4 linked regions of the Macaca mulatta genome follow. The protein of the gene in region 2 purifies or fractionates together with the protein of the main gene of each other region. This does not show direct contact. Links are inferred from orthologs where the notes say so. Each region holds a gene or a part of one and is shown on either strand. Other genes may lie near its edges. The genes, in order: RPP30, RPP40, POP4 and RPP25.

Region 1 (8,287 bases), on a different chromosome or scaffold from region 2:
AAGCTTTCTAAGTTCAAGGATTGTGCTCATATTATTCATGGCAATACCCCCCAGCACCCACCTCAAGTCTGGTGCACATGAGTTCAGAATAACAGTTGCCAAGGGATTCTTTAATTGTGGTATCACTACATATGTGCCATGAGTAAATAGAACAGACATATTACACTGTGTGAATTCTGAGGACAAGGAGAGCAGGCAGGTGTCATGGTTTAGGGGGGGCGAGGGAAAATGTAAAAGGGGGAAGACAAAGTGCAACATTGTTCAACATTAATCAATACAACTTACAAGGCCAAAAGGAGAGAAGAAAATTAATTAACTTACCAAAACATTGCAGTGAGATGGATCCGAGACAATAATTGTCAATCTAGTTAAAATTTTAATTGGTCTTGATTTTCCCTATTTAAAAAAAAACATGATGTCAAAAAGCACAAAAGACAACGATTGATTTTCCTGTTTACCAGTGGAAAGTACTCATTAAAAGGTACTGGCTATAAGGGATAGTGAAGATCAGTAAAACCCAGTCCTTGTTCTCTATGAATTTACAATACAGACACAGAAAGGGATGTATGTATCTTAAACTACATAACGAGATAATTTTAAAGTTGTAGGACTTCAGGAAAGAAGATCATCAAAGCAGTATTGAACTGATAGTAAAAGAATGTTTCCTGAAGAGCTGAGCCTTGAGGAAAATGTAAGACTGGTACTCAGAGTAAGGTGCAGCTCAAGTTAGAGAATACACACATAATTAGGTAACTTTTAACTGAATAAATAGATACTATGTTTCTTAAGCAACAAAACACCTACCTGTACAATCGGTAAAGTTGTGAAGAGTTCAGAAACAGCTATTGGTTTTTCAATTTCCTACAACAAATGATAAATAGTTACCGCAGATTGAATACATCAATAGCACAAGGCATAATGGAAAAATTAGGAGGGGTTCTCAGAAAAAAAATACGCATTTATTTTTAAAAGAAAGCAAGGTGATTTCTGGTATTCAAAAAGACTTTTTAAAATTATTTTTAAAAAGAAAGCTAAACAGAGAAGCAACTGTAAACATCAGTGAATAGGAAGAATGAAAACTAATTTTTAGACTGAAATAATCTACAGGATACAGTTGTTGGCCTGAAGAGAAATATACATACTTACTAGTAATGTTTAAGAGAGAAATTAGTTAATAAGTCCACGACAATAAAATAAAAAGGACTAAATATTTTGAGTACAGTCCAGCCAATAACAATGCACTTTTTGAACAGTGAAAGTAACTTAATTTCAAATCAACTTTAGGAATCCTGAACACTATATCATAGTATCTCACAAAAATCTTCATTGTTTATATAAATATGCATCAGTTCAACTGTTAACATATAAAAATAGAAAAGGAATAGTGCACAAAGGAGTGCACTTAAGAAATATTCTAATCTGTAGCTTCCAAATTACCAATATAAACAGAATTAAAAATACCTATTTATGAACTTATTAACTTCAGAAATATTACTTTACCTGTTTCTTTTCCTTAAAGTCAACGATATGATTGATAGCAACAACTGAATAGCCAACTGAAAAAGAAAAATTGAACACTTTTGTTAAATATAACAACCTCTCCTTCCTGTAACACAGGTCCATCCTAAGTCTAGATGTCAAGAGTAGGAGGCCATTTAAGGAGTGGTTATGAATGTGAACTCTAGTGTCAGTCTGCCTGATTTAAAGTCTACGCACTACCACTTATAAGTTACTTAATGTGAAGTTTCAGGTTCTTCATATGTCAAATAGTGAAAATAACAACACTTACTTCATACACCTCTCATGAAATTTAAATAATACACACGAGGTGTTTGAGAACAGTGCCTGGCACATAGGTCTTTGTTTAACCATTATGAATTATTATTAAAATGATACTAAAGACTCTTAACTTTGTGCTTCTCCTTTTCAACTGTCATTCTCTTTCATGTCCCTGTATTCATTTTCATCCCATGAAGTTCCTACTTTATCACTGTCACTTTTATTCTCATTCTTTTGCTTTTTGTCCTTTTACTTCCTTCAGAGACTCCTTTCCTAGAGAGAAATGGAGTGATAACTCCCTCACACCACTGCCGCCCACTTCCCGTTTGAAGCTGCACACCATCGACAGACTGGGAGCTCCTTGAGGTCAAGGGCTTGCTTTATTACCCTCATCAGTTAGCACTGTTCTGGACCTTTGGGCTACCAAAAAAAAATCTAAAAATCATGATTCTCATCTTTAATTTTTAAAAATACCAATGGGGATGAAAGGATATTAATATTAAAATACATATCAATGCCAAACTCTCAACAGTTTGTCCAACTTCCTTCTTCCCTTCCTCCCTCAAGTATTTACTGAGCATCCATTACTTGACAAGCCCTAAACTGGTGTTGAGCATACAGGATAAATAATACAATCCTTCTCCACAAGAAATTTACAGCCCAGTCTGTTGGAGAACTAAGGCAAATAAGGCAATTAAGCGAGTCATTGTATATAAATACATTTTTTTATAAGTAAGTTTTCTATGGAAGTATATAGCACAATGAAACCTGGTGTAGGGGTCACAAAGCCTCCCTGGAGAAAGTCACCCTTAAAAACAAAAAAATCACATGTATGCCTGTACCTTGGGCTTCACCTTGCACCCAGTTAGTCAAATCAACCAGTCACACCTTCTCCCTATTCTTCTTTACCACACTCCCAAATCTGCTCTAAACTTCCTTGTTATACCCATTTGGGATATCCTTTTGGCTACTAAACAATGTCCCTACCATTCTACAGAAATGTCAACTAGGATCTGTTTCTCCACAAAACTTTTTCCTAGACTACTCCTCATCTGGCAGCTTAGGAGTACTTACTTCCCTAATCAGGCTTTAAGGTATTTTAATTTACGCAGTGTATTTCTGAAGCTTATTATTGGTTTCTTATATCACATCAGAAACTAAGAACCAGGGCTCTGTCTTCCCTATTCTTTGAAAATGTCCACTATTTATTTCCAGACTCATCAAATAGCAGTCCTTTGTCTGACTTGTAAGTTGAGGCAACTTTGTCATATGCCATGAATTCCATTTAATTTATAAAAAAATAACCACTAACAATGTACATAATTACCACATCTCTTTCAAGTGTATTTTAAACTGTGGGAAATTCTCTAAAGAAATCATTATAACTTTTCTTTTTTGTATTTTTTTTAATGTGTTCAGTTTATTCCACAAGCATTAACTGAGTAACTGCCATGCATTAGTGCTTGCAAAGTGAATATGTTAAGCACAGTAAATAAAAGGATAAGACATGGCAATTCTCTTAAGAAGCTCATGATTTATTTAAAAATGGGATGGCATCAGGAAAAGCCTATTGAGGAGGTAATAATTGCGACGAGCTACACCCAGGAAAATTTATTTTACAGGAGCAAAGAACATTAGCGCTAAATGGCCCAGATCATCTTGTCTACTTTCCTCTTCGTGCTGATGAGCAAAGTACCACAGAGATAACATTCATTTAGTGGCAGCAGTGGAAAGGCAAAGTCATTTCGCCAAGGGTACTTCATAAAGAGGACAATTTAAAAAATGGTGTGATTCATTTTGCCAAGAAGTGGTTGTCATTTCTAGCACCACCTCTGAACAGTATCAGTAATCAGAACTCACAATGAGCTGAAAACTGTCTCTGAGGAGCAGATGTTACTGCACGAACCTCTTGATTCTTTTTAATATCTCTATCCCCACACTTTACAGTAGTCTAAGGAATACAGAACCCACGACTAACTCCAATAGTTAAAACAGGTTCTAGTCTCTCAAGGCTTTCGCTTCCCTTCGATTCGGGCCATGCTGTCCTCCTCCACCTCCACTCCACCGTGTATGTCCCCACCTACCCTCTCTCTGTCTGGATAATATTGTTCCAACACTCCCGCATCCTCCTCCTTCTCTGAGCCTCCACGGCGCTTCCTGTCCGTGCCCCAAATTCCAGCATTTGTTTAGATACTGTCGTGAGAGTTAGGAAGGGCTGATAGTAACTTAGAAGCTTAGAAGATTGTACACTTGGAGTCCAGCTCCGGTTTCAGTCATCTATCAGCTGTAGGTCCCTACGCGAATCCCTCGCCCTCGTTGGGTGTCTCCGTTCCCTCATTGCAGGAAAGGAGCTGAACAAGGTAACAACCTTGTTCAGTTTTCCGCGCCAGGAATCAGACCTACACCTCGGCGGGCATCAGCCTCCAGGGACATTCCAGGGACATCCCAGAGACTCTGGAAGACCTGACAGAGACTCATCAGGAAACAGTTCCTCCCAAGAGGGTCCCGATGGTCAGGGTGGCATGAGGTTGGGCAGGCGCTGCGGCCCGCGAAGCCGGGGCAACTCACGGTGAGCCGCTGTCTCCACAAGTCCGCGCAGAGCCTTCAGGTCAGAACCCGCTCGCACGTCCAAGTCTGCAAACACCGCCATGCTGAAGTCCCATGACCACCCGCGCGCGCCAGTCTGCGCAGCCGCTGAGCCCGCCCCTCAGGCATGCTGGGAGCTGTAGTTAACCTGCGCAGTCCGTCTCTACCTCCAGTTGACTAGGGATTCGGAGAAACTTACTTTGCCTTCAACTACCACCAGAATTTGTGTGTTGAAATCAACAGCTTCATTTCAGTCCCTCTTTGTCTTCTTCTGAATGACAATGTTCGGTTCCCCCTGGAGGGGTTCCAATTCCCCACTATTCAGTACTCCTATAAAATAGTGTAGAAATGAATTCGTTCAACATTCACGCCCACGGTATCTATGTAGCGCTGCTCATGAATCAGAGAATTCTTCTAATAGGTGAATGCTATTTAAAGAGTCCTAAAGAACACGTTTTCCTTTCCTTTCCCTAAAGTCCATTCCGTTGTTTACAATGGACTTTCCGGGAAGAAGGCATTTGTGTATGACTGACTCTAGGACATCAAAAGAGAACTACCCCAAGACGAGGGTACTTTTACCCAATCAGAACTGTTGATGTCAAAGACCGCTAATCTCTGTTGCAGTCAACACCTTCAACCACAAGATGGCAGGGCTCGCTCGAGGACGAGCGGTTACAGCCAACATTGATTTAGCCAAAGACACGTTTGAAAAGGGAGGTGCAAAATTGAGATGTTTTACACTTTTCCAGCTGAGAAATGTACAAGGTGACGCATATCCCACATATCTGATGTTTCCACTTTTTTCCGACTTAGTGTAAATGATCTATTGAGGATTAATAGCAAATTATACTACAAAAGTGTGACGATAGTTTACATCAGTGCTCTCAAACCACCTGTGATAAAGGACCAGTTTCTCCCTCCTTCTCCCCTACCTCCAAATTCTTCACGAACCAGGATGTGGTCCTTTATGCATCACCGGTAAGCAGCCTGGCCTCATGGGAATCACAAATTTGACAGCACTCGAACTGCCCTATACCTGGCTGAATAGAGTCTGCTGATCAGGAGCTCGGATATCAGGACAATGCCAAAGTACTGTAAACGTTCTAAACATCTTCACTTTCTGTTTGTTTGTTTTAATAACGTGAGCACAGCAACAACAATCACAGAATTAGAGGCTCGGTCATTTGACCTGGGGAGTGTCCCGGTTGGTGGCCTGCTGAGTTTTCGTTTCGTTGTTTTGTTTTGTTTTTAGAGAGAGCACCTCGTTATTGACCAGGATGGACTCTAACGCAAGCAGTCCTCTCTCCTAGCTGTGATTCACACGCGCCCACTCCCGTGCCCCACCCATCAATTTCTCTATTTATTGATCACAGACAGTTCACAGACAGTCTCTCGTCTATGGACCACACCTTAATTAGTACTCCTTTATGCGATTTTCTTGTCGTTCTCAGAAGGCAGGAGGGATCTGCTCCATGCAGTAGCATGCAATTCTCCTCTTGGTTAACTTTTGTAAAGAAGAGATATTTTGCCTTTTCCAGTACTTGATATTTCCTAAGTAGGAGTAGAAGAGAGTATTACTTCTGCAAATAGAATAAGGTCATATGAAACAAACCCTTTGTTTTTCATGAGAATGTCGAATGTTAATTTTGCAGGGTCACACAGGCATCTTCACCTATGACCATAACAATCTAGATTGGTCAGAAATATGACCAATGTGTGGTGAAGGTGAATAAGGTGATAGTTCAATTATTTTTTCATTTTTAGTTGATACATTGTAATTATACGTATTTATAGGGTACAATTTCATGTTCTGATATATGTATATGTTGTATAATGAACAAATCAAGGTAATTAGCATAGTCATCACCTCATGTATTTTTGGTGATAACATTAAAAAAACTCTCTTCTAGCTGTTTTGTGATATATAAACAATACCTTACTGTTAACCATTGTCACCTTCTGTGCAATACAACATCAGAACTTATTCGTCCTATCTACCTTTGTACCTGTTGAGCAACCTCTCCCCATCCTCCCTCCCCCAATCCCTCCCTAGTCTGTTAACCATTGTTCTACTATTTACTTTCTAGACTTCTATCAAATTAATTTTTTTTCAGATTTCACATACGAGTGGGATTACACAGTATTTGTCCTTCTGTGTCTAGCTTATTTCACTGAAGATAGTATCATCCATGTTATCCCAAATGACAGGATTTCATACTTTTTAAATGGCTTAATAGTATGTCATTATGTGTATACTACATTTTCTTTATCCATTCGTTCGTTGTCAGACATGGAGGTTGATTCCAAATATTGGCTATTGTGAATAGCGTTGCAGTAAACATGGAGTGCAGATATCTCTTTGACATACTGATTTCACTCTCTTTGGATTATACACCCAGTAGTGCAACTTTCAGGTTATATGAGAGTTCTATTTTTAATTTTTTTAGGAACATCTACTGTTTTTCATAATGGCTATACTAGTTTACATTTCCACCAACAGTAAGTGTTCCTTTTTCTCTACATCCTCACCACCACGTATTTTCATTTATTGTTTTGATAATAGTCATTGTAACTGGAGTGAGGTGGTATCTCATTGTGGTTTTGATTTGCATTTCCTTTATGATTAGTGAGGCTGATGATTTTTTGATTTTTTCATATACCTGTTGGCCATTTGTATGACTTCTTTTGAGAAATGCCTATTAAAGTCTTATCAACCCATCACTTAGGTATTAAGCCCAGCATGCATTAGCTATTTATCCTGATGCTCTTCCTCCCCCTGCAACCCCAACAGGTCCCAGTGTGTGTTGTTTCCCTCCCTGGTCCATGTGTTATCATTGCTTAGCTCCCACTTACAAGTGAGAACACACAGTATTTAGTTTTCTGTTCCTGTGTTAGTTTGCTGAGGATAATAGCTTGCAGCTCCATCCATGTCCCTGCAAAGAACATGATCTCATTACATTTTATGGCTGCATAGTATCCTGTGGTGTATATGTACCACATTTTATTTATCCAGTTTATCATTGATGGGCATTTGGGTTGATTTCAGGCTTTGCTATTGTGAAGAGTGCTGCAATGAACATTTGTGTGCATGTATCTTTATAACAGAATGATTTATATTCCTTTGGGTTTATATCCAGTAATGGGATTGCTGGGTCAAATGGTATTTCTGCTTCTAGGTCTTTGAGGAATCGCCACATTGTCTTCCACAATGGTTGAACTAATTTACACTCCACCAACAGTGTAAAAGCCTTCCTATTTCTCCTCAGCCTCACCAGCCTCTGTTGTTTCCTGACTTTTTAGTAATTACCATTCTGACTGTCATGAGATGGTATCTCACTGTGGTTTTGATTTGCATTTCTCTAATGATCCATGATGTTGAACTTTTTTCCATACATTTGTTGGCTGCATGAATGTCTTCTATTGAGAAGTGTCTGTTCATGTCCTTTGCTCACTTTTTAATGGGGTTTTTTCTAATAAATTTGTTTAAGTTCCTTGTGGATTCTGGGTATCAGACCTTTGTCAGATGAATAGACTGCAAAAATTTTCTCCCATTCTGTAGGTTGCCTGTTCACTCTGATAATAGTTTCTTTTGCTGTGCATAAACTCTTTAGTTTAATTAGATCCCATTTGTCAATGTTTGCTTTTGTTGCAATTGCTTTTGACGTTTTCATCATGAAATCTTTGCCTGTGTCTATGTCCTGAATGGTATTGCCTAGATTTTCTTCTAGGGTTTTTATAGTTTTGCTTTTTACATTTAAGTCTTTAATCCAAATGAGTTAATTTTAATAAACAAACAAACAAGCAAGTTAATTTTTGTGTGAGGTGTAAGGAAGGGATCCAGTTTCAATTTTCTGCATATGGCTAGCCAGTTTTCCCAGCACTATTCATTAAATAGGGAATCCTTTCCCTATTGCTTGCTTTT
Region 2 (8,452 bases):
TTCAATCCTCCATTACTCCTCTTTAATTAACAATTAATTTCAAAATCACTGTATGATTACATAATTGTTTCTTCATACCTGTATTATGCCAAGCCAAAAGAAAATCAAATTTCAATGGTTTCTTTTCTTTGAAGGACCAAGATACTCTTTCATACTTCTTAGAATCCAAGTTTAAGGATAATTCCATCAAATCAATTGAAACAACTTTAAAAATGAAAAAAAGAATATATATTTCATTCATATACATACAGCTTATACTATGGAAAAAGTGTTGTATTTTTAAAAACCAGAATTTTGGGAAATTTTATGGATAGTAAAATTATTTTATTCTTCTTCCACTCCCTTTGGTTTGCCAAATAAAAAAGATCCCTTTGGTGGGCACTTCTAACCTTGAGAGCTAACAGAAACAGACATTTTAAATTTATATATTTCCTAGGTCAAAGACCAAGGGCAGAGGACCTTGAGAGGTCAGGTTTCATCTACTAATGGATGTGGCAGCCTTAGCTATTGATGTTTGAGCCAGACACTGTCAGCAAAAGATCTCTTCACTCCTGGGTGAATTTCTACTAGTAATCATAAAGACCTGGGGAAGCCAAAGGAAATTCTTCATTATAATAAGCAGACTCCTATCTTGGGTTCAGTACTTCGAATTTTTTTTTTTTTTTGAGATGGAGTCTCACTCTGTCACCAGGCTGAAGTGCACTGATTGTGATCTTGGCTCACTGCAACCTCCTCCTCCTGGGTTCAAGCGATTCTCCTGCCTCAGCCTCCCGAGTAGCTGGGAGTACAGGCGCCTGCCACGACGCCCGGCTAATTTTTGTATTTTTAGCAGAGACAGGGTTTCTCCATGTTGGCCAGGATGGTCTCAATCTCTTGCCCTCATGATCCGCCTGCCTAGGCTTCCCAAATTACTTTGAATGTTTAACCCAAAACATATATATTTAATTGACCAGTCCAAGTCTACGATCTTTATCAAACGCATCTACAGCTGAAAAGAAATGAACTTAAAAGCATCATCCTATCCTCTATGAAGCTTAAGTCAGAAGTTTGGTAGATTTTTTTAAAAAGCCACATTTTTCTGAACAAAGAGATTAGAGGCAATTCAAACATTTAAATTTAAATTACCACAAGAAGATTACAGACTTCTTAGAAACAGATGGAGCACACATGATACTTACTAAATTTCATAATTTTTCTACCAGAAAACTGAGATGGATGACCCTGAAGTCCAGTTTCTTCATAAGTGTCTTTATCCAGTGACAAAATTAATTTCCCTACAAATCAAATAATAACTTGCGTAAGAGATACCAAAAATAGAACTTATGCTGTCTGATTAAAAGAAAGCAAAGCAAATTGAGCAGTTAGATATTGATGTACCAAACTGCATACAAGGATCTTATTTATATGACAAGAATATTTATATGTATACATGTCTTATAACACAGATATTATTTATACATTATACATCCAAGGATATTATTCATAATAATGAAATTAGAAATAATCTGAATTTCTACTAAAGATGAAATAAATAAGTCATGGTATACTCATTCTTTTGAATATCTTCTTCTTTTTTTTTTAGACAGAGTCTCACTCTGTCACCCAGGCTGGAGTGCAGTGGCACGATCTTGGCTCACTGCACCCTCCGCCTCCTGGGTTCAAGTGATTATCCTGCCTCAGCCTCCCAAGCTGGGACTACAGGCATGCGCCACTACGCTGGCTAATTTTTGTATTTTTAGTAGAGGCAGGGTTTCACCATGTTGGCCAAGCAGGTCTTGAACTCCTGACCTCAGGTGATCCATCTGCTTTGGCATCCCAAAGTGCAGGGATTATAGGCGTGAGCCACCGTGCCTGGCTTTTTTTTTTTTTTTTTTTACAGTAGGCATTTTTTTTTTTAACAATTAAAGAAAGATGAAAAAATAAGCGTTACCATTTGGTAGCAGGGCAACTGTATTATCTTCATCAATATTTGTATTGCATGTTAGTGCATAGCAAGAACCTGTAAGAGAAAGTCCAGAGGAAAAATTTAAAAGAATAAATTACACCTGCAAGATGTTAGTGGATTATTTTCACAAGATAACCTGTCTTCCAGGTAATTAAAGGTCAGTTTCTACCACTGCTCCAGTTCATTCAATAAACCAAACATCTGCCAAAGGTAAGCTGGAGCATGCAGAAGACCAAGCTCCAGCTAGTTCACTCCCCGACCAAGGGCCTATTTGTGCAAGTGTACTATCATCAAGCAAAAAATTGACTCAGAATGGAATGTGACCTTTGGGGATGCATGGAGAGGGGTACAAAGTAGAATTGTAGATAAACATACACATCTTAGAGGCAGAGTTCCGGGTTAAGATTCAAAAGCTACTCAACCTCTCCAAGCCTCAGTTTCCTCACCTGTTAAATGAGGATCATAGGCCTGCTTCATAACATTGTTGCAAGGGTTAAATTTGGTAAGATATTGAACAGTGCCTGCTACAGCTAGTGTCCATGTAATTGACAGAGTGGTGTCAGACCTCAAAATAGATGAAAGGAATAATGGTGATGAGACCTGACAAGACGCCCAGCTCGTAAGTAGCCCCAGCAGTGTCAGAATGAGAGGAGCTACTGGTAACTAGAATTCTTCGTATCTTCACTGGAGAGGACACATGTGGGGGCTAGCACAAGATAAGCATGTGGCCACTGTACAGGTGACTCACGTATGTGGGTGGAATCCCTAAATACCCTTTGAAATAGTTTCAAACAAACGGCTCCCAGGAAACAACTGAAACAAACCAGTCCAACCCAGCAGATGTGGGTGGAAATGGGGTGCGCAGAGAGGGGTTATGGCTACAAAATCTAAGCAGAGGACACTGGACCCCAACGAGCACTCTGCTCTGTGAACAGTAGCTGTGGCTGCATCTGGAGACCAACCCTCTGAGGCAGCTGCTGTGGGGCTGCTCACAGCACAGGGTCTTCGCAGCCACTTCCTCGAAAGCAGTGCATCTGAACACAGACTGCAAGTCTGTCCTCTCCATCAATCCTCATTTTAAGGGGACGGATACCCTCATGTTACAACGTCCCCATCCAACACTTGTGGGCAATTGCAATCAGAAACCACCACCTAAAGAGGGCACAAGAAAGAACAGGATGAGAACAGGGGGCGGGGGGTAGTGCATGTGTGCACCTGACCACACAGACTATCCCACAGGCCCTGTTCAAAACAAAATAACAGCCCCAGCATTGTGATGTGGTCTACCTACACTTCCTCATCTTGCCTTGTTTAAAGCCATTTCAGGTTTTTCTTACCTTTCTTTATAAAGGTACTGATGAATTCGGGTGTAATTAATTCATGAAGAGGTAAATTCTTCACAAAGTAATAGGGTCCAGTTTGCATGACCAGATTTTTCAGTTCTTCCGATAGTATCCCACATTCAGGAATGAGAAATGAAACCTATTGGAATGTGTAATACAAACAAGGTCTTACTTCCATGAAGATGAACACCCAGGTTTTTAGGAATGAAATAAGATCATGAAAGTTGTTATTTCTCCACGAGTTTCACCGGAATATAAAAACACAGGCAACAAAACTCTCACGTTAACTTACCTATCTCAGGCAAAGAGAAATCTGACTACTCAAGTTTTTCATTTCTGCATTCAAACGTACAGCACAGGAAGGGGACTGAATAGAATACTTTTAATGGAAAACTCTTGCTTGCATTTTATCTTTTGCAAATTAGCAATACTGTATATTTTATGTCCTATTCCTTTCACCATTTTCAAGGAAATACAGTATAATTGAATATCCCTTGATTTGTTTACCCTGGTGTTATCCTGGAAGGAAATGAACTGTCTGCCGGGGCATAAGGAATTAATTTATGGATATCCAATTACTAAGAAGCTGTGTGCAAGCAATGGCGCTCCTGTATGTTTCCAATTTCGAGAGAGAAAAGTGCAACAGGCGAGTTAAGGTATACATCCCTGGCTGCTGTGATGAGCTTTCCATCCATAATAGGTGTTAAAAACAGGACAGGCTTCAAATGTTGCCACACTGTAAAAGTCATCACTGTCCCAAGGCTCAAACACTAGCCTGTCCTGACTGATCAGGTCACCACTTAAATCTCTGAGACACTGCTCAGTCAAACCTGAGTTATTAAGCTGAACCATTTAAAGTGTAAAATGTTTAATCCCCCATTATAAGGTTGGTTTCTTGAAGTTTCTAGATATCACATTAGTTCCCACAACCAATTTAGAAAATCAGGTAGCTTCCTGGGCCGAGCCTAGGCAGAATGCTGCGGAGAAATCCACAGGTACGCAGGTGGTGCAGGTGGGAGAGAGATCCAAGCTGGGGAGAGAGGCGGTGGTGGGGACGAGGCGGGAGACCCGCCCTGATTTCGGGAAAAAGAGAGGTGCACGTGGCTGCCCGGCAGCTACACATCGCAGCCGTCACACCGTCGTAACTCTCCGGTCCCGGCCCTAAACCTCGAATCCCTCCCTGGACCCCCTCCCAGTTAGGCGGGTTGACCCGAGTGAGCAGCCAGAACGCCCTGGACACAGCTCCCTCCACACTGGGTGCCGCCCCCACGCCCTACCTATCCTGGGAGTTGTAGTCCTGCAGCCCTGCAGACCACTGGCCTACAGTAGTTAAGAGACTACAACTTCCAGCAAGCCAGGCGAGGGCCCCCGCCCCTCCGCGCACCGCCGGCGGCCCCGCCCCGCGAAGCCTAGCACTCTCCCTAAACCTCTCTCGCACGCAGCGATTGAGCACGGCCCGAAAAGCCGAGGACAACCGGACTCACCCTGTAGTTATAGTAGTGCGTCTGCACAAGATGCCGGTGGCGCGACTTGTGGTTGCCGAAGTTGGATTTCTCGCAAACCAGTAAGTGCCGCGGCGCCTCCCGAAGCCGGCGCAGCGTGGCCATGCGCTCCTGGGTTCCTGGTCCTCCCGGCCTTCGCTGGCAGGGCAGGCCCCGCCCCTTCCCCGCCCCGCCCCGCCCCTTCCCTCCGGCCGCGTACCCGCCGCTGTGCGCCCCTGGTGGCGGTGGAGTAGGGCTGGAGGCGCCGGGCGGCTGAGACGTTCTTACACCCCACGCAGCAGGCAGCTCCCTGGTGGATGTCTGAAAATGTAAATTCACTGCCTCAAGTGGAAATATCCAGTCGCTGGGAACCTGGCTCTTGCCTTTTCAACGCCACCTTTCCTCCGTCCTCGCCATCCCTCGGAATTGCCCTAAACCCTCTATGGGCCCCGCCTCGGAGCGCCCCTGGGACCCCGGCCTGGCGCCGGCACATACCTCGGTCAGGTCCTTCAGAGGGACCGCTTCCTGCCACCCATATGAAAGGAAAACATCGCATGGAAAGGCCCAGTTCCTTTAGTGTGTGGTCAAGAAATGTAGCCGCACAGTTAAGTAACCCCCTAAGGTGCTTTGGGGGTCCACACCCAGCTGCTTTTCTGACTTCTCACGCTGTTTGCTTCACAGGACTCTGTTACCCACTGGGGACCTCTTGGCCATTATTAACACAGGCCAACAGGACTAAAGGTTTGCCTCCGCCCTTCCCAAAACATCAGGGAGGTTTGTGCGGGACGGTAAAGCACAATTTTTGCCTTACAATAGGACTCCTTTGAAACTACTATTGATTTCCCTTTTCAGTAGCCTTCAGAACCGCTTTTAACGATGTGGTGTTTCTGGGGGTTATAGTGATAATTCTCCTAAGTCATTTTTCCATTTAGTTTTTCTGTCACGGGCTTGGTGCGGTTAAGAGACTGCGGCTCCCAGCATGCGGTACGTTACTGATTCAGGGCAAAATCAAGTATGTTACTACATGCTTCTCAAACTAGAGAAGGCAGTCCACCCACTTTGGCCTCCCAGAGTGCTGGGATTACAGGTGTGAGTCACCACACTGGGTTGCAGTTAGTATTTGCGATGTTAGAAACTAAAGTGCTGGTAAACCTTGGAAAGAAAAAGCTTGTGGTCTCTGAGAGCTTCAAATTTAATCTTGGCCTCATTCCCTAATCACATCGGAAGAAGAGAATATGTGAAAAATGGAAGTGATCAAAGGACGATGGGGTCCCAGGAGAGGGAAATCTCATGCCTTCTGATCTATTCACAGCTTTGACCTGCAGACCTTAGATATGGGAGGAATAGACTAAAAACAAACTGTCACTGTTGTTACTGTTTTGGAGATGGGGTCTCACTCTATAGCTCAGGATGGAGTGCAGTCTCAGTTCACTGCGACCTCTGCTTCCCAGGTTCAAGTGATCTTCCCACCTTAGCCTCCTGAGTATCTGGGACTACAGGTGTGTGCCACCACACCCAGCTAATTTTTGTATTTTTTGTAGAGATTGGGTCTCTCTATGTTTCCCAGGCTGGTCTTGAACTCCTGGACTCAAGTGATCATCCACCTCAGCCTCCAAAAGTGCTGGGATTAGAGGCACGAGCCACTGCATCTGGGAAAGCAAATTTCTTATTTTGCAGTTTGGCCTTGGGGCCTGAGTGCCAGGCTATGATTGTCTGTTTCCTCTTTGGAGTGGGGAAATGTGTGAGTTGAAGCACCAGTCACATACACACATATCTATATGCATTTCTGTACAACCCAAGAGATCCAACTTTAATAGGGGGAAAAGGAAATCAGAATGTAGAGGCGGCCTGCTGTTTACCAGTAACTTGTAATCAACATGTCATTGAGTCCCATCTGCAATGGGTGTGTGTATGAGTTAGCTATTGCTGCATAACAAACCATCCCAAAACTTAATTAGCTTATAATTGAGCTGGTTAGCAATTTAGGCTGGGCTCAGCTAGGCCATTCCTCTGGTCTCAGCTCAGCTCCATGTGTGTGGTGTGTGTAGTGTGTGTGTGTTTTGCTCTGCTTCTGGGGGTGAGCTGGCTGTCAACTGGGGTACCTTGGTTCTCCTGCTTATGGTATCCCTTCCTCCAGCAGGCTAACATGGGCTTGTTCTCATGGAGATGAAAGCATTCTGAAAGAAAAAGCAGAAGCATTCAAGATCTTTTGAGCCTAACCCTGAAACTAGCACACTGTCATACTCTCTGCATTCTGCTGGCCAGAGTAAATAAGGCCAGCCCAGATACAAGACTTGGGGAAACAAATTCTGTCTGTTTATGGGAGCAGCTATAAAATCTCATTGCAAAGGTCATAGATAGGGAAGTATGAAGAATTGTTCTTATTTTTTCAATCAGTATCATTATGCCTTTTCTTGCAGATGAGGTTTACCTAATTGTTCCAAATCAAATTCAAAACCTTGAAGTTACTGACTAGGTTGTAACTCAGTAGTATCTACTATACTTGACTCCAAAGCCCAGACACCTCTATAGACCACAGTACTCATACATCTCCCCTATTCCTTCAAGATTCTGGAGAGTGACACTTCTGTAAATGCCCATCTAGGGCTCTTCACTTATACCCATTGGGTATAATTCCCTCCAGAGAAAGCTGAACTGTCTTGGAAGAACTTAAAATAACTTAGGGAAACAGCTGAGGGCTGAGTTTAGAAATCAAGGCTCATATTTTTTATTTCTAATTATAGGGGAAATTTGAAAACACATATAGTGCACTCCATATGTTTGCAAATTCTTTTCGTCCATTTTTAGTATTTGTAGGCTATTTATGATTTTCAAAGCAAGCTAAATCAAACGGTGCCTGAAACAACCTCTTACTCTGAAAAGCAAGCAACATAAAGATAGATCTGCTGAGAAGACATTTCCACCTGCTGCAATTTAGACAAACAGCTGACTGTGTATTGAAGCAGTCCTTTGATTTTCACAGGGCAAAGCTGTTTCCAAGACCCCAAACTGAGGAACTGCCATGGGGCACACATGGAAATCACACACAGCTAATGCATCCCTCACTCTGAACCAGTGGTCCACATCCATGGCTGCACATTAAAATCACCTGGGGAGCTTTTAAAATTCCCAAAACCCAAGTTACAACAGACCTATTAAGTTGGATTCCCTGGAGTGGGACCCAGGCAACGGTGTTGTTTAAAGCTCTCTATGTGGTTATATTGTGTGGTCAAGGCTGAAAAGCCACTGCTTTAAACCAGCATCTTTTGATGAACTAGTTGCAAATAATTTCTCAAATAAATGTAAAATGTTCACTGCTGAATTGTAGGCTTTCAGTCTTTTTTTTTTTTTTTTTGAGACGGAGTCTCACTCTGTCGCCCAGGCTGTAGTGCAGTGGCCGGATCTCAGCTCACTGCAAGCTCCGCCTCCCGGGTTCACGCCATTCTCCTGCCTCAGCCTCCCGAGTAGCTGGGACTACAGGCACCCGCCACCTCGCCCGGCTAGTTTTTTTTTTTTTGTATTTTTTAGTAGAGATGGGGTTTCACCGTGTTAGCCAGGATGGTCTCCATCTCCTGACCTCGTGATCCGCCCGTCTCGGCCTCCCAAAGTGCTGGGATTACAGGCTTGAGCCACCGCGCCCAGCCTCGGCTTTCAGTCTTATCTGTGGTACCTACTTACTGTCT
Region 3 (7,652 bases), on a different chromosome or scaffold from region 2:
TTAGATGGCAAAGAATTCACAGGTCAATCGTTCCCTTCGCTTTGAACTTCTTTGCAGACCGTTCACTTGACCGAAGCTGAAATTTGCTCCCGTAAATGTAGGAAATAAAGCCATCGATTTCCACAGTGAACACGCAGTTTAGCTTGGGGATAACTGAAAAAAAAAAAAAAAAAAAAAAGGGCGGGAGAAAAAAGATGAGGAAAAATCCTTGGCAGTAAATATTCATTTATTTATTTATTAATATTTTACTTTTAGGTAGAATATTATTCAGAACACATTGAATGAAAAAAATAAGCTAATAGGAAATGGGAAATCCCCCACAAGGGGAGGGGCATTAGGGTTACATGTGGTTATTCTGCCATAGGTCCATCTAGTCACATGCTAAATGTAACTTGGCACCTGATCTTCAGGGTAAAAGGCTATACACCAAATTCCCAGGACCAGAAAGTCCCAGAACACCCGCCAGAAACTGGTTTTCCCACATTAACTTTCAGATGGGCTCCTGGCCTTGTGCTCTGTGGGGAAACTCTTACACCACTTTCTGAGGTTTACAATGTGAAGCAGAAGGATATGTAGGAAAATAAGGGAAGCAACAAGAAAAACCAAGCTCAAAAATTAAAGGAAGAAGGCTGGATGCAGTGGCTCATGCCTAAAATCCCAGCACTTTAGGAGGCTGAGGCAGGCGGATCACTTGAATTCAGGAGTTTGAGACCAGCCTGTCCAACATAGTGAAACCCTGCCCCTACTAAAAATACAAAAATTAGCCGGGTGTGGTGGCGCGTGCCTGTAATCCCAGCTACTCGGGGGGCCGAGACAGGAGAATCCCTTGAATCCGGGAGCGGAGGCTGCAGTGAGTTGAGATTGTGACACTGTACTCCAGCCTGGGTGAAAGAGCGAGACTGTCTCAAAAAAAAAATAAATAAATAAATAAAGATAAAAAAATTAAAGGAACAAAACCCTCTAACTACAGTTTGTTATCTCTGGATTTGTGAGCAAGGTGGGGTGTAGAAATCCTGGGAGACCCAAAGTATCTGCTAGAGCAATGCTGGCCACCAATGGAACCCAAGTGTTATCACCAAGGACACGGCTCAGAATTTCAGGGACAGGCGCCGCTCCTGTTTCTACCCTGCTGCCTGTTTGGCTACATTCCTCTGGGAGCAGCAGCCTTGGGGCAGGTGGAGGCCCTCTCCTGGCACCCAAACAGACCCAGGTCCCCTGAGGCACGGCCAAGATCTTTCCTCCGCTTGGCCATTTCTGGCTGGGGCCGCTGGCTGCACTGACACACGCCTCTTGGGGGCGCCACGGGAGCAGACGGTGGTCTCTGCAGGCTTTAATGCAGGTTCAGTAAGTATCTGCAATCAGCGCTCAAACCAAACCCTTGGAGCCCCGAGGAAAAGGCTAACGCAACAGCTGGAAGCCACAGCCCACACGCAACGCGCTCGGAAACTCCTACATACCTTTCAGGCGGTCTTCTTTGGTGATAATTTTGAAAATGTGCTTTGTTTCCTGTAGAAGGATTCCTGTAATACCCACATAAGAGGGGCACTTGGATTTTGTCACTGTGAAGAAAAAGGACAGTTCCAGGCTCAGGCCTCTGTGGTGCTGGGGGAACCACAGACAAGCAGGCCTCAGGGGTCCGGGGTGCTGGTCCCACCCTCTGAGCTAGCAGACGAAGGAAGACAGCACCCAGGGCGTGGGGGCTCAACAGCTGGGCACTGACGTAGCCAACGAGAACCCAGGCTTCCCCTGGGGCTCTGCAGTCTCTGGACTGTCCTATGAGGTGTCCTTCGGAGAGTCTGTGGCCACAGCAGTCTTGGGCAGGATTCTGGAGTCAAAGGTCACACATGCGCCCAGCACCATCAGGACCCACGGGCTGGCTGCTCTGATGCAGCCAGGACTCCCTTGCAGGATCTGCACAAACACCACCATGCACTGCCCAGGATGCTGGCTGGAACGTGAGTCCTGCTGCAGAGCTGCCCAGCAGCCAGCACTGTGAGACGAGCCACCATCACAAGCAGCAGCCCCTCCCTCGTCCTGACCCAAGCCTCAGTGTAGGTGACAGAGTCACCAAGCAGCTGCAGTATGCCTGCACTGTCCTCGGGAGATGCCAGGGACATAGTATGGAAAGAGGCAGTCCCGGATCCTGCTCTCACGGAGCCCAGGTTCTAGCAAGGCAGGGTGATGCATGGTGAACCACACCATTCTACTTTCTGACAGCGACGAGTGCTATGAAGAGTAGGGACAGGGCAATGAGTGTGGAGGGTCATGGTTTGCAATGGTAGACCCTCAGGGGAGTGGCATTGGAGCAGGGCTGAACAATCGGAAGTCGGTCTGTGCACACACAGGAGAACTCCCTGGCAGAGGTAAGGAGCAGAGGCGAAGCCCTGAGGCAGGGCGGGAGGAAGGCAGTGTGGGAGGCCTGCTGCCCCAGGGAGCGGGGAGGCCTTAGACCACAGCAAGGAGGCAGGTTTACTCCCATACGATGGGACGCTGCCGGAAGACTTGAAGCACGGAAGGAACGTGCTCTGATTCCTATATAATCGGCACTCCGGCTCCCTGGTGCGGGGAGGAGCTGTGTCTGAGGTAATCTGGGGAATGACAGTGGCTGAATTTAGGTAGTAGGATGTTCTGAAGGATTAGAGGAGGGAATTAGGAAAGAAGAAACATAGACACTATTTCGGTTTTTGGCCTGAACAACCAGCATAAATAACTGAGTAATTAACTGAGATGGAAAAGAGCAGGAGGGGTTGCTGTGAGAACTGGGGGTAGCTTTGGCTATGTAAAGTCTGAGATGCCCCCTGAACATCCAGGTGGCTGTGTCAAGTGGGCAGCTGGATGCCTGAGCCTGGAGTTCAGGGGACGGGCCTACGCTGGAGACGTCACCTTGGGGACTGTCAGGTGTAGCTGACATTTGAAACCACAGCATTGGATGAAAGGGATTCTGTGTTCAAGATTCCAGGCCATGGGTGAGTGCCCACAGCTACTGTGCCCTTTAGGGTACCAACAGGGGTCCCTGTGTGTAGGTACACGGAGGGGAGGTACACGGAGGGGAAGGTACACGGAGACCACTTAGGGTGTGTCCAGCAAATGGCCAGACCGGCTAAGACAGCCAGTGAGAAGCATCTCCCACCCTTAGTGCGGGGATGATGGTGACTGGGGCCCATCTCAGGGAATCCACACGGTAAGGAGCGTGTCCAACAGAACACACGCCCTGGGTCTCCACAGAGCGACAGTGTGGACCTCCGGATGGCCATGTGCTACACGCTCTTAGGTAAATTACCTGAAATAATAGCCCCGTGAAGATCTGCCTTTAACAGTTTGGCCTGAATCATCTGTGGCTGCCTGCAAGGTAAACAGAAGCCCTTGATTTACACCATGATAAAAGGTTCCAAAAGAAGCAACTAGGTCTTCAACCGCAGCCAGGCTGGCTCCTGAAGCTGCATTTACAATGATCAGAGACTTGAGATCCACCCCAAAGAGCGAAGCTTCAGGAATGCAACTTACGTGTCTGGCTTTAGCCCATTGCACAGGTCCTTGATGTACTGTTTCCAGAGTTCATGGAGAGGGAGGAAAAGACTGTATCTGTGGCAGAGTCAGAAACGGAAAAAGTTAGACAACATGAGCTTGGGATGACAATGTCCAAATAGCACAGAGCTTGGCTCGATGCCAACAACTGTGGCCTGGGATCATTAGGAACTACGTGCAAATCCTAGGATGAGCAATTGAGCTGGTAACAGAGACCAAGAACCTTCACCTCTCTAACTTCAGTTTCCTCATTGGTGGGACCCCACCAGCCCAGAGCGGTGTCCACTTGGACTTCTTTTCATGAGAGAGAAATAAACGTGAGTCTTGTTGAAGCTACTGTTATTGTGAGGTTTTCTGTTACGTGAAATTGAACCTAGTAAGCCCCCAATAAAGCAGGGGTTGCTGGTTGTCACGCAGGTCCTCATGTGAGGCAGCAGGCTGGTCTGGAAGGTGGGCAAGCAAGTGGTGGGGAGAAGAAGAGGGGAGCAGGGGCGAGGACCCCAACAGCTTTCCTCTGGGCCGTTATCTCCAGTCTTCATGCCTTGTGGGGAATCCGTTACCATGAAGCCTTAGGTTAGAGAAATGAGGACCTTAAGCTCAAACCCAACTGGGGTTCCACCCGGGAAGCAAATCCTGGGAGGCAGCAGCCCCTTCTCCACCTGAGGCCCAGCTGATCTCCTGAGTGGGGCCGGGGACAGCGTGGCATACTTTAAGCGTCTTCTAGAATGTGGGAGGCTATTTGGCTGTCGATCTCCAAGCAAAAGCCTACAGACAGCCCTAGGACACACACACTCAGACCCGTCGCCAAGGAGGGATGGAGGGTTGGCTGGAGGAAGGCATCCTCCCACAGGACAGGACAGTGATGCATTCCTTTGGGAAACTTCTGAAACGTGTGGGCAACATCTTGCTTTGGCAATGAAACCCCAGTGGGTGACTGTCTGGCGCTATTAAAAGCTACAAAGTGATACACACTAAAAACATATCAGTTCCTCTTTTCTGTCTAACAAAGCCGAGGGACAAACAGCCTGTTGCCATGGGCAACAGATGTACTTGGACGGGTCTTACTCGTGAAGGTGACGAGGCAGGCCAGACAATGAGTCCTGTCTCACCCGCCTCGCTGAACACAGCCCAGATTGGTAAAGGAAGGCTGCCCTCTTGTGGCAGACAACAGAGAGGCGCCCTTAGCTTAGGTGGAGCCAGGCTGCCTCCCCAGCGACTCAGTCAAGTCCACACACCCAGAAGGGTAAGCACCGCGGGCAGAAAGAAGGGAGGAGCTCAGGTTACCTCTGCTGCTCTGGTTTAATATAAAAGAGCCGCAGCTCCCTCCTTTGCCTGGCAGAGAGGCCTTTGGCTTTCTTCTTCTTCTTCTCCTTGCGCTTGTGGCGGGTGAAGTACTCCAGGACCACGGCCTTGCGCTGCAGCTGGTCCTCGCGGGCCTGCGGGCTCATGCCGGGTGTGCTGCGCTTCAGGAAGGCCCTCACGAAGGCCTCGGCCCGCTGTGCTCCTGGAGGCTGCAGGCGGACAAGGGGGTGCAGCGCTCACTGCTCTGGTCTGGGCAGCCCAGGATCCCAGGCATCCCGCCCGCAGCTACTGGGAGAGCAGATGGGGCCCATCCCTCCACCCACTGAGGCTCACACCCCGCTCATCTGCCATGTGTCTGCTACCCACAGTTGCCGAGATGTAAGTCACACTCATACACAAATTCATGACCGTTTGTCACACACAACAGCATGTCAAACGCTCACTTCCTGCTCTGGCCCTGCTTTTCTGAGGTTATTCTGCTGAGGACTAAAACCTTTCTATCTGGAAGAATACTTCAGTCACTCTTGGCAGAAGAGAAAGCTTGAGAAATGTGTAACAAAGATATTCAACCAGGCATGACCAGATGAAACTAAGTGAGCTCAGAGTAGCACTAAGCTATGGAGGAACTGATTCTAACACTACAGAAAACAGCAAAACTAGGGCTCCAGGGTCAGCCAAGCCTCAGGGGGTAGGGACCCTGACACTGTGCCCTTAGGACAATACTCCTTAACTGGGCTTCCAGCAATGTGGGCATGGTGTGGGCTACTCTCCAAGAGGTCCGCTCCTGCCCCGCAGACCATCACTTGGAGGAAAGTACCGTCAAGAGCATCTCAGGCCCCAGACTCTCTCTCTCTCCAAAGGGCGTCACTGAGAGCCGGGCGTCAACTTACCATGAATGAGCGTAGGCTCTTAGAGAGGACTTCTGAAAAAATGACTGTCATAATTGTGTGCAATTCTCAAACAAACAGACAAAAACCTCCAAGCTCACTACCTCTCAAGTTGGAGTTCCAATAATGGATTCCTCATTTGGTGGCAGATGCCACTGCCCTGGCGCCTGCCACAGCCCTGGGCAGTTCTCTCTCCTGAGGGCCTGTCTCCTGGCTGGGCTGTTTCCTGAGCTTTTTACACTAGCCAGGTGCCAAATGCTAAGACTGAGGCTGACAGACTGATGCTGATCTGTCATTAGTAACCCAGCCCTCCCTCTGTGGGAGAGCAATGGGAAGATAGGGTACACATAGTCTTCGAGGGAGCTCACAGTATGATGGTGGGAACTCTGTTCAGTTTTGCACCTGTAGATGCTAACTAAAAATTAATTCACTCTAATCATTGTGACTATAATAGGACAATAATCTGATTCTCTTAAATACCTGAGTGGCTCGTCTTTCATGGAGAAGCAAAATAAAGGCATACTGGTCTTTCAAAATCTTGCTTTCAAGGTAATGCTCTCACTATGAGCTACAAGAGGAACTTTTGTGAAACTGACAAAGCAGGCTGAGGCATCCAGATATAATCTGTAAATTTCACTTATGATATGTAATTGCACACCTTCTGCAGAAGTGCAGAGGGCACAGTGACAAGGTTGAATGATGCTGCTCACCACATGGGCACAGCCTGGTGTCCCCAACATAGTGGAAATGATAAAAGGTTAAGAAAAGCCTCATTTTACCAAACGTGACTTTGGCACAACAGAAAAGGAGGCCGGCAAGTGGGAACAGGTCATCAGAACTACAGACTTTGATCCAGCCTTAGATGTCTGCCAGAAAAATGAGGAGTACAATGTGGGTATCGACATCTCAACCAGTGACAGGGGCTCAGAAGCTACTGAGCCATCTTTGCCATCACCTGTGTTGCTCCTGGACCTCCTGCCAAGAACTGACCTGGACATCAGAGTCTTTCGCCTCTTTCTGAGACAATGCATGATAGATCACACCTAGAGGATTAAAAACAAGAAATGATCAATTCTTGTTGGGTATGGCTGTAAGACCCAAGACTTCTCTAACTATGAAAATAATTACACCGCTGGATGCATGGCTCACACCTGTAGTCCTAGCACTTTGGGAGGCCAAGGCGGGTGGATCACCCAAGGTCAGGAGTTCGAGACCAGCTTGGCCAACGTGGTGAAACCCCGTCTCTACTAAAAATACAAAAATTAGCCGGAGGTGGTGGCTCACACCTGTATTCCCAGCTACATGGGAGACTGAGGCAAAAGAATCGCTGGAACCTGGGAGGTGGAGGCTGCAATGAGCCGAGATCGTGCCATTGCACTCTAGCCTGGGTGACAGAGACTCTGTCTCCAAAAAAAAAAAGTAAAAGAACTACACTTATAACATATGCTTATTCATATTCAGAGATAGGAGATCAGGTTGGTAAGAAGAGCAAGCTTTCTTGGATGCCTCTTATCCCACCCTCTGGCCACATCTATGCTAGAAGTTTCAAGCTCATGGTTTAAAAAGAGTGCTTCTCAAAATTTAACGTGTGGAAAAATCTCTGGGATCTTATTAAAATGCAGATTATTGGTCTCCTACCCTAGATCCTGAGTGTCTAACATATTCCCAGATGCTACTGCAGGTCAGGGGATCACATTTTGAGTTGCACTGGTTTAAAGTATCCCAAGTTAGAAGCCCGAGCCCTTGCTAACGAGGTAACTCATTTAAAAGTTATATGATATAGCTGTCTAGGATGTAGATGGTTAGAAATAGGTTTTGTTAACTGTAAGATGTTTAAAAAGATTCTTCACATTTTAATATGAAATTATAATGTATCATATAATCAAGGGTGTCCTGAACTGATGAAATACAACAGTTCTTCCTTTAAACTCAAAATAT
Region 4 (6,910 bases), on a different chromosome or scaffold from region 2:
CCATTGGTGAGTCAGCGCACCTACTTTTGGAACCAAAGCTTCGGACCTACAGCGCACCTACTGAAAGCTTCGGAACCAAACTTGCTGGGGTGTCACGGGGGTGCAGAAAAGAAAGTGTTTCGTTACCTGCTTGGGGGAAGATTAATGCTTTGATGCTGGATAAACATGTTCCTCTCTTCTCTATCCCCCAGGATAGGTTTCTGGGCTGGAAGGGAACTTTTCCGTCTCATCAAGAGAAATACGCTGCAGGCTGGGGGTGGTGGCTCACCCCTGTAATCCCAGCACTTTGGGAGGCTGAGGCAGGTGGATCACTTGAGGCCAGAAGTTCAAGACCAGCCTGGCCAACATGGTGAAACCCCGTCTCTAATAAAAATACAAAAATTAGCTGCTCATGGTTGCCCACACCTGTAATCCCAGCTATTCAGGAGGCTAAGGCAGGAGGATTATTTGAACCTGGGAGGCAGAGTTGGCAGTGAGCCAAGATTGTGCCACTGTACTCCAGCCTGGGCGACAGAGTGAGACTGTCTCAAAATAAAATAAAAAAATAAAAAGAGGTCGGGTGCAGTGACTCACGCTTGTAATCCCAGCACGTTGGGAGGCTGAGGCGGGTGGATCACCTGAGTTCAGGAGTTCGAGACCAGCCTGGCCAACATGGTGAATCCCCATCTCTACTAATAAAAAAATTAGCCGGGCATGGTAGTCCACACCTGTAATTCCAGCTACTCCGGAGGCTGAAGCAGGAGAATCGCTTAAACCCAGGAGAGCTGAGATTGCACCACTGCACTCCAGCCTGGTGACAGAGCGAGATTCCTTCTCAAAAAATAAAAAAAATATTAAATAAATAAATAAATAAATAAATAAAAAGGCTGGGCATGGTGGCTCACACCTGTAATCCCAGCACTAGGTGGGTGGATCACCAGAGGTCAGGTGTTTGAGACCAGCCTGGCCAACATGGTGAGACCCCGTCTCTACTAAAAATACAAAAATTAGCTGAGTGTGGTGGTGCATGCCTGTAATCCCAGCTACTCGGGAGGCTGAGGCAGGAGAATCACTTGAACCTGGGAGGCAGAGCTTATAGTGAGCAGAGATTGAGCTACTGCACTCCAGCCCGCGGGACAGAGTGAGACTCTGTCTCAACAAAAAATAAAAATAAAAAAAGAAATCCATTGCAGCCTTATCTCCGTAACAAGACTAGCAGGCCCTGCTTTCTTTTTTTTTTTCGAGACGGAGTCTTGCACTGTCGCCCAGGCTGGAGTGCAGTGGGGCCATCTCGGCTCACTGCAACCTCCACCCCCCGGTTCAAGTGATTCTCCTGCCTTAGCCTCCTGAATAGCTGGGATTAGGTGTCCACCACCACGCCTGGCTAATTTTTTGTATTTAGAGTAGAGATGGGGTTTCACCATGTTGGCCAGGTTGGTCTCAAACTCCTGACCTCATGATTCACCCGCCTTGGCCTCCCAAAGTGCTGGGATTACAGGATTACAGGCATGAACCACCACGCCCGGCCTCAGGCACTGCTTTCATAGTCCTGGTAACCCAGCAATCAGTCACTAGTGGTCTTGGAAAGTTGGCCCCTTTTTAGAACCAAGACCAGTCTCCCTTAAGCTTCTACCATGCAGGACCTTGTCCAAGTTTTATCACTGCCTTTAGATGCTGAAGTCCAGGAGAAGCTAGGGCATCTTGTCAGGACAGTTTACATTCTTTCCATGCTTCCTGGGCCACCCCTGAGAGGGTCAGACAAGCACAACCAAACCCCTTGGCCCTCTCCAGGGACTCATCAAGAGCAGGAATTTGGGGAGAGCAACGAGGGAAAAAGTCTGGATGACAAAGCTCACTGATCCAAAGCTCAAGCAGAGATAACTGCAGGAGAGGGAAACCTCCCTAAAGAGCCCCTCCAGTCAGCCACAGAACGTATCTCTTGTCACCAGCAGGATTTATTTCAGGGTTCTGCCAGCAAAATGACTTATAAATACATTCTTCCGCATCTCCCCCTTTCCAGGGGTGCTGCTGAGTTGCATGGGATGAGATCTACTTCTGAGATCCTGGGGCTGTATCCCACCCCCAACTCACCAGAGCTCTTCCAGCACACAGCACCACCCCCACCCCCCAGCTGGCTTAGAGTTGGGCAGAGAAGCTTATGAGGCTGTTATCTCTCAACAGACAGCTGTGCAGGGCTGGAGGCAGCAGCTTATCAGGAGGCCTGCAGTGATTCACAGCCCAAGTCCCAGCTTCTCTGCTGAATAGTAATTTCCAGCAGTGGATTTGCGCTCAGTCTCTCTCCTCCCCTTTTCCCAAGGGTGTGCTGTCCTTTCTCAGAGAGAGGGCAGCGAAGGGGAGATCCTACTCACGGAGCTGGGGGCTTTGTGCCAGCCTTCTGGGTAAGGTTCAGTTTATTGTCTGGAGGCTGCAGGTTCAGGGACCTCAGCAGGGTCTGCCACCCTTTGCAGTGACCTCCAGGAGAGTTCATCCATGCTCTCCTTCCACTCCTTCCTTTCCCTCCCAGAAAAGCAATGTGCCACTCCCTTTCCCTTAGTGGTGATGTACAGGGGAGCATGGGCCCCCCATGGGCCACAGCCCCTGAAGCCAGGGCCAGCCCGGGAGGGCAGAGTGGGGGAGGAGAGAGGAAAAAGCCAGGGACTGGGAAGTGCCTTGCACCATTTTGAAGCTGTCCAGTCTCTATGCCTGACCCTGAAGACTCCAAAGGATCAGGACGCAAGGCTGGAGGGGAGGGGAGACACAAAGGGCCAGGCCAGAGCTGTCTCTGCACAGGCGGGTGGTTAGAAAAAAATTTGGGGACAGAGCCATTTTTGTGCTTGTTTTATTGGAAGCAAGACTCCAGTTGCAGGGCTGGGGGAGGAGGCCTGGAGAGTTCAGTCCTGGGTCTCCCTCTGGGCCAGCAGGGGGAAAAGGGGTGTTAAAAGAGCTAGAACCCTCAGAGATGCTCCTCTGAAGCAGGGGAAGGAAAACTAGAAAGGAAAACTGTCCCAGGGCGGGGAGTGGAATAGGACCCCCACATCTCAGACTCTCCTACCCTCAAGCAGTCAAGTCTCACCCCCTGCCTTCTCTGTCAACGGTGGGGGTGATTCCAATAACTCTTCTCGGCTTCCGCACTCCAGGTGCCCTTCGTGAATGCTGGGTGGCTTTAACCCTTGGGGGTCCCAATCAAGTTTCCAGAATCCCACTGTCCACCATTCTCCCCCAAAGAAGGTCCCAGAAAAGGTGAAGGTGAAGTTCCGTGTCTTCAGGCAACACGGGCATAAGCAGCAATCATCGCACGAAGTTTCCCTAAGGTCGTCGGGGATCCTCTCCTGCCACTTCTGGGGCCCCTCTCTTGTCGCCTTAAGGTCCATGCTACCTGCCTTGAGGAGCTGTGTCCAGGTTGTGGGTTCCGGAGGACCGAGGAGTGAAAGGCTGGAGGTGCATTTGAGGGTGGAGGCGCTGGCGGAAGATCCCGCCCACAGTCCGGAGTTTTAGGCCGTCCGATCCTCGTCCGCAGCCCCTGGCTCGGGTTGCGATCGCTTCGCGGAGCCTTCTCCAGCTGCGGGTTCCCCTAGGCTCCTCTTGGACGTTGGCGCGGCTGGCGGGGACGACGGACCAGGATCGGGGTTCGGGGGCTGGTAGCCGGGCTGTCGCGGATCCAGCGCGTCCTTGGAAAGTAGGATGGCGAGGCTGGGCACGTTCTTAAGTACGCTGAGACTAGCGACCGGCTCGCCAGGCGTCTGACCCTGCGTGGGCCCAGGCGGGAGGCTCTGCCACACCTCGCGCACGCTCCGGTAGCGCAGCCGCGTGACCTGGTGCAGGCCCGCCAGGCGGCGCTTGAGGATCTCGGCGCACGTGACGGTTTTGGTGGTGGCCCGGCCGCAGCCGCTGAAGACGATGGCGCGCGTGGCTGGCTGCGCCATGCTGGCGGTGGCGAAGGCCATCAGGTTCCGGATCTTGCTGCCTTCCTTGACCCGCATGTGCACCGCGCCCGGCGCCAGGTCTGCGAAGGGGCCAGAGCCCGGGCCGCCCCCCTCGGCCCCGCCCCCCGCTGGCGCCTCTTCGGAGCGCACCTTACGGAAGTTCTCCATGCGCCGTCGTCGCCGGGACCGCCGGCTTTGCCATGGGGCGGCCTCAACCCCGGGGCTGCATGGCCGCCGGTCTCGCCCTGCAAGGGCCCGCAGGGGTAAGGGCGCGGAAGCAGCTCGGACGCCGGCGGGCGGGTTGGGACGGCGCGATCTCGGCCCCACTTCTCTCGAGCGGGCGCCGCTCTACTCCGCGCTCTCGGCGCCCGGTGCTCCGCGCCTTTAGCTGAGGCCCCGCCCCTGCCGCCAGGCCCCTCCCCTGACCCGGCCCGGCCCGGCCCGGCCCGCCCGGGCCCCAGCCTCACCAGCCTTTCGTGGCAAGTCCGGGTCCTCAGCTACGCGGGCGTGGGAGCGGGCGTGGGAGCGGGCGCGCTGCGGGGCGCATGGGCAGGTGAAGGTGAAGTTCCACGACAATCGCCATCAGCGCTCTCCGAGCCAACCCTCACAAACCGGCAGCCTAAATAAAAGCTGCGCTTGCGGTGCAAACACCAATTCAAACCCGGTATCCTAGCCCTTCCCCGTTGCAGTTGAAGGCCGCCCCTCGTCCCCTCCCAGGGAGAAATTTCCGAGAGGCTTGCTGGGGCCTCGCCCCTCCTCTCCCCGCTGGGGAACACCCCCACCTTTTTTCCGCTCCCAAGTATTCTTGCCTCAAGGACAGCTAGTGCGCGGTCAGCAGAGTGCGGGAGGAGCTGGCTGCGGCTCCACTCCGCGCCTCCCCTCGGGCGACTACGTCGCGGCGTGGTCCTCGCGGGGCGCGGGAGACCCAGGCTTCAGCCTCGCCACGCCTGTCTAGAGCTCGAGGCTCCCGGACCCCCGTCCACCCCTGGGACGTGAGGAGTGAGGCTTTGGGCCAAGCTGTTCCCCGAGGCGCGTGAGGAAGCGGGCGAGACCTCTTCTGAAAAGGCGGTAGGCTCGCTCCACCTATGCCCGAGAGCCCACCCTTAGGGCTGCGCGCTTTAGGGTGAGCCAGGCACGATGCCATGCCAACGTGGCCGCCCCTTTCCTCCCAGGCGAAATTCGATCAGGCAACCTTGGCCCCTTGAGATCCAGTGGGTCTTTTTTCGAACGGAGGCTGGGTGAACGCAGGTTTTAAGAAAGAGAAGGGAGGGGCCGGGCTCGGTGTCTCACACCTGTAATCTCAGCACTTTGAGAGGCCGAGGCGGGCGGATTACTTGAGGTCAGGAGTTCGAGACCAGCCTGGCCAACATGGTGAAAACCCGTCTCCATTAAACATACAAAAATCAGCTGGGTGTGGTGGTGCGCGCCTGTAATCCCAGCTGCTCAGGAAGCTGAGGCAGGAGAAGCGCTTGAACCCGGGAGCTGAAGGCTGCAGTGAGCCGAGATCACGCCACTGCACTTCACCCAGGGTGACAGAGTAAAACTATGTCTCAAAAAAAAAAAAAAATTAATTAATTAAATAAAAAAGAAAGAGAAGGGAGGGAAAGCCCATTCTCCATGATGTGATTATTATGCATTGCATGCCTGTATCAAAACATCTCATGTACCCTCTAAATATAGACACCTATTATGTACCCACAAAAATGAAAAAGAAAGACTTTAAAAAAATAAAAGAGAGAAAGAAGGGAGGAAGATGGGGAGTTGAAGCCCTGGGGGCATTATAGAGCTACTGGATGCCTCTCTTTGGAAACTCCTCGGGACCGAAGGAGAGGCCCGGGGTCTCCTGCCGGGTGAGAGAAGCATTAGAGAAAGATGAGATTGGGGCTGTCAGGACTACTGATGGAAGGGAGGGGGTCTGAGAAGGGGCCCTACCCTCCCTAAAACTGCCCTCGGGCCTCGCCTGTCCTCCTTCCACCGGCCCCACGCAGTCAGGACTGAGGGAGGTCGGCAGATCTGGTCCCAGCCAGGGGACTGTGACGGGGCGTGGCGGGGAGGGACACAGAGAGCTGGGGCTGGCAGGCAACCGGAAAAGTGCTGGGGGCATGACGGTGCCTAGGATTGCTGGGCCTCAGTTGGAGATGAGGCTGCCAGACTATATTCTGTCTCCTCCCGCTGTTCTCACCTCCTGGGCATCAGCAGCAGCTCTCAGTCCCTGCTGTTCAGAACCGGGGTTTACCCCCTTACCACTTCTTGGGAGTGGCTGCGGCGCCTGGACCTTGGCACCCCAGTGTGTGAATGGCTGACCCCGTCTCCTGGTGGAATCAGGAACCCTCGGGGTATGCTCCGAACCAGGACTTCGGTCTCGCTCCAGTCTCCGTGGGCCCCACACAGCGGTGGGGGCTAGAGGCACAGCAGCCTTGGGAAGATACAAAGACTGTCCGCAGCGCGTAGCGGGGCGTGGAGAGCCGAGGGCTGTGTAAGGTCAGGCCCTGAGAAAAAGTCCCCGAAAGGCTGGAAGTAACGTTGGAACGGGCTGGTTGTGGAAGAAGAGAGCTCTCCGTCCCCGGGGCTATGCAAGCTTGGGCAGCAAGATCACTTGGAAGGGATTAGGCGGAGTTCTGTCATTTGGAGGAAGAGTCCTGGGAGCTTCGGGTTTGTGTAGGGCGAGGACAGGGCGGTTCTGCGTCCGGCCAGGTTGGCCCTCTATGACCCCACCGCCCCCACCCTCCTAAACTGCTGTAGAACACTCGCATTCACTGCTCTCCACAGTCGGTGAAGGGAGAACGCCGAAAAGGCCCGCATCCCCTCCTGCCGGTCCCCTCCTCTTCCCCCGCTCCCTCTGCAGCACTTAAAATGTAAATGTACATCGTGATTAGCCGCGGGGTCGCTAATTACAGCTGAAGCCATTCATTACACTGTCAGCGCGCGTCGCAGCCCGCCGGCTGTGCGCTCCCTCCTGGCCGCGGAGGGGTGCGGAGGGTGGGGGCGGGAGATGAGGGGAGTGAGGG

The links.
Region 1: the proteins of RPP40 (region 2) and RPP30 purify together in Homo sapiens (affinity purification with mass spectrometry; 3 studies listed by BioGRID and IntAct, counting the BioPlex papers as one, with this or other methods). This does not show direct contact. The link is inferred for Macaca mulatta from reciprocal best matches to the Homo sapiens genes RPP40 and RPP30.
Region 3: the proteins of RPP40 (region 2) and POP4 purify together in Homo sapiens (affinity purification with mass spectrometry; 3 studies listed by BioGRID and IntAct, counting the BioPlex papers as one, with this or other methods). This does not show direct contact. The link is inferred for Macaca mulatta from reciprocal best matches to the Homo sapiens genes RPP40 and POP4.
Region 4: the proteins of RPP40 (region 2) and RPP25 purify together in Homo sapiens (affinity purification with mass spectrometry; 3 studies listed by BioGRID and IntAct, counting the BioPlex papers as one, with this or other methods). This does not show direct contact. The link is inferred for Macaca mulatta from reciprocal best matches to the Homo sapiens genes RPP40 and RPP25.

What each region holds. Positions count from the first base shown.
Region 1 is NC_133414.1:102,894,208-102,902,494, reverse strand, and holds the start of RPP30 (ribonuclease P protein subunit p30), read right to left. Parts: upstream 4,443-8,287; 5' UTR 4,430-4,442; coding exon 4,348-4,429; intron 1,557-4,347; coding exon 1,501-1,556; intron 862-1,500; coding exon 805-861; intron 397-804; coding exon 322-396; intron 1-321. UniProt on the Homo sapiens protein: Component of ribonuclease P, a ribonucleoprotein complex that generates mature tRNA molecules by cleaving their 5'-ends. Also a component of the MRP ribonuclease complex, which cleaves pre-rRNA sequences.
Region 2 is NC_133409.1:178,222,901-178,231,352, reverse strand, and holds the start of RPP40 (ribonuclease P protein subunit p40), read right to left. Parts: upstream 4,927-8,452; 5' UTR 4,896-4,926; coding exon 4,773-4,895; exon of another isoform or gene 4,703-4,772; intron 3,428-4,702; coding exon 3,283-3,427; intron 2,000-3,282; coding exon 1,931-1,999; intron 1,275-1,930; coding exon 1,179-1,274; intron 205-1,178; coding exon 79-204; intron 1-78. UniProt on the Homo sapiens protein: Component of ribonuclease P, a ribonucleoprotein complex that generates mature tRNA molecules by cleaving their 5'-ends. Also a component of the MRP ribonuclease complex, which cleaves pre-rRNA sequences.
Region 3 is NC_133424.1:40,882,481-40,890,132, reverse strand, and holds part of POP4 (ribonuclease P protein subunit p29), read right to left. Parts: intron 6,758-7,652; coding exon 6,705-6,757; exon of another isoform or gene 6,670-6,704; intron 5,037-6,669; coding exon 4,810-5,036; intron 3,583-4,809; coding exon 3,505-3,582; intron 3,343-3,504; coding exon 3,281-3,342; intron 1,560-3,280; coding exon 1,458-1,559; intron 154-1,457; coding exon 17-153; 3' UTR 1-16. UniProt on the Homo sapiens protein: Component of ribonuclease P, a ribonucleoprotein complex that generates mature tRNA molecules by cleaving their 5'-ends.
Region 4 is NC_133412.1:52,905,073-52,911,982, forward strand, and holds RPP25 (ribonuclease P protein subunit p25), read right to left. Parts: upstream 4,141-6,910; 5' UTR 4,071-4,140; coding exon 3,471-4,070; 3' UTR 3,276-3,470; downstream 1-3,275. UniProt on the Homo sapiens protein: Component of ribonuclease P, a ribonucleoprotein complex that generates mature tRNA molecules by cleaving their 5'-ends. Also a component of the MRP ribonuclease complex, which cleaves pre-rRNA sequences.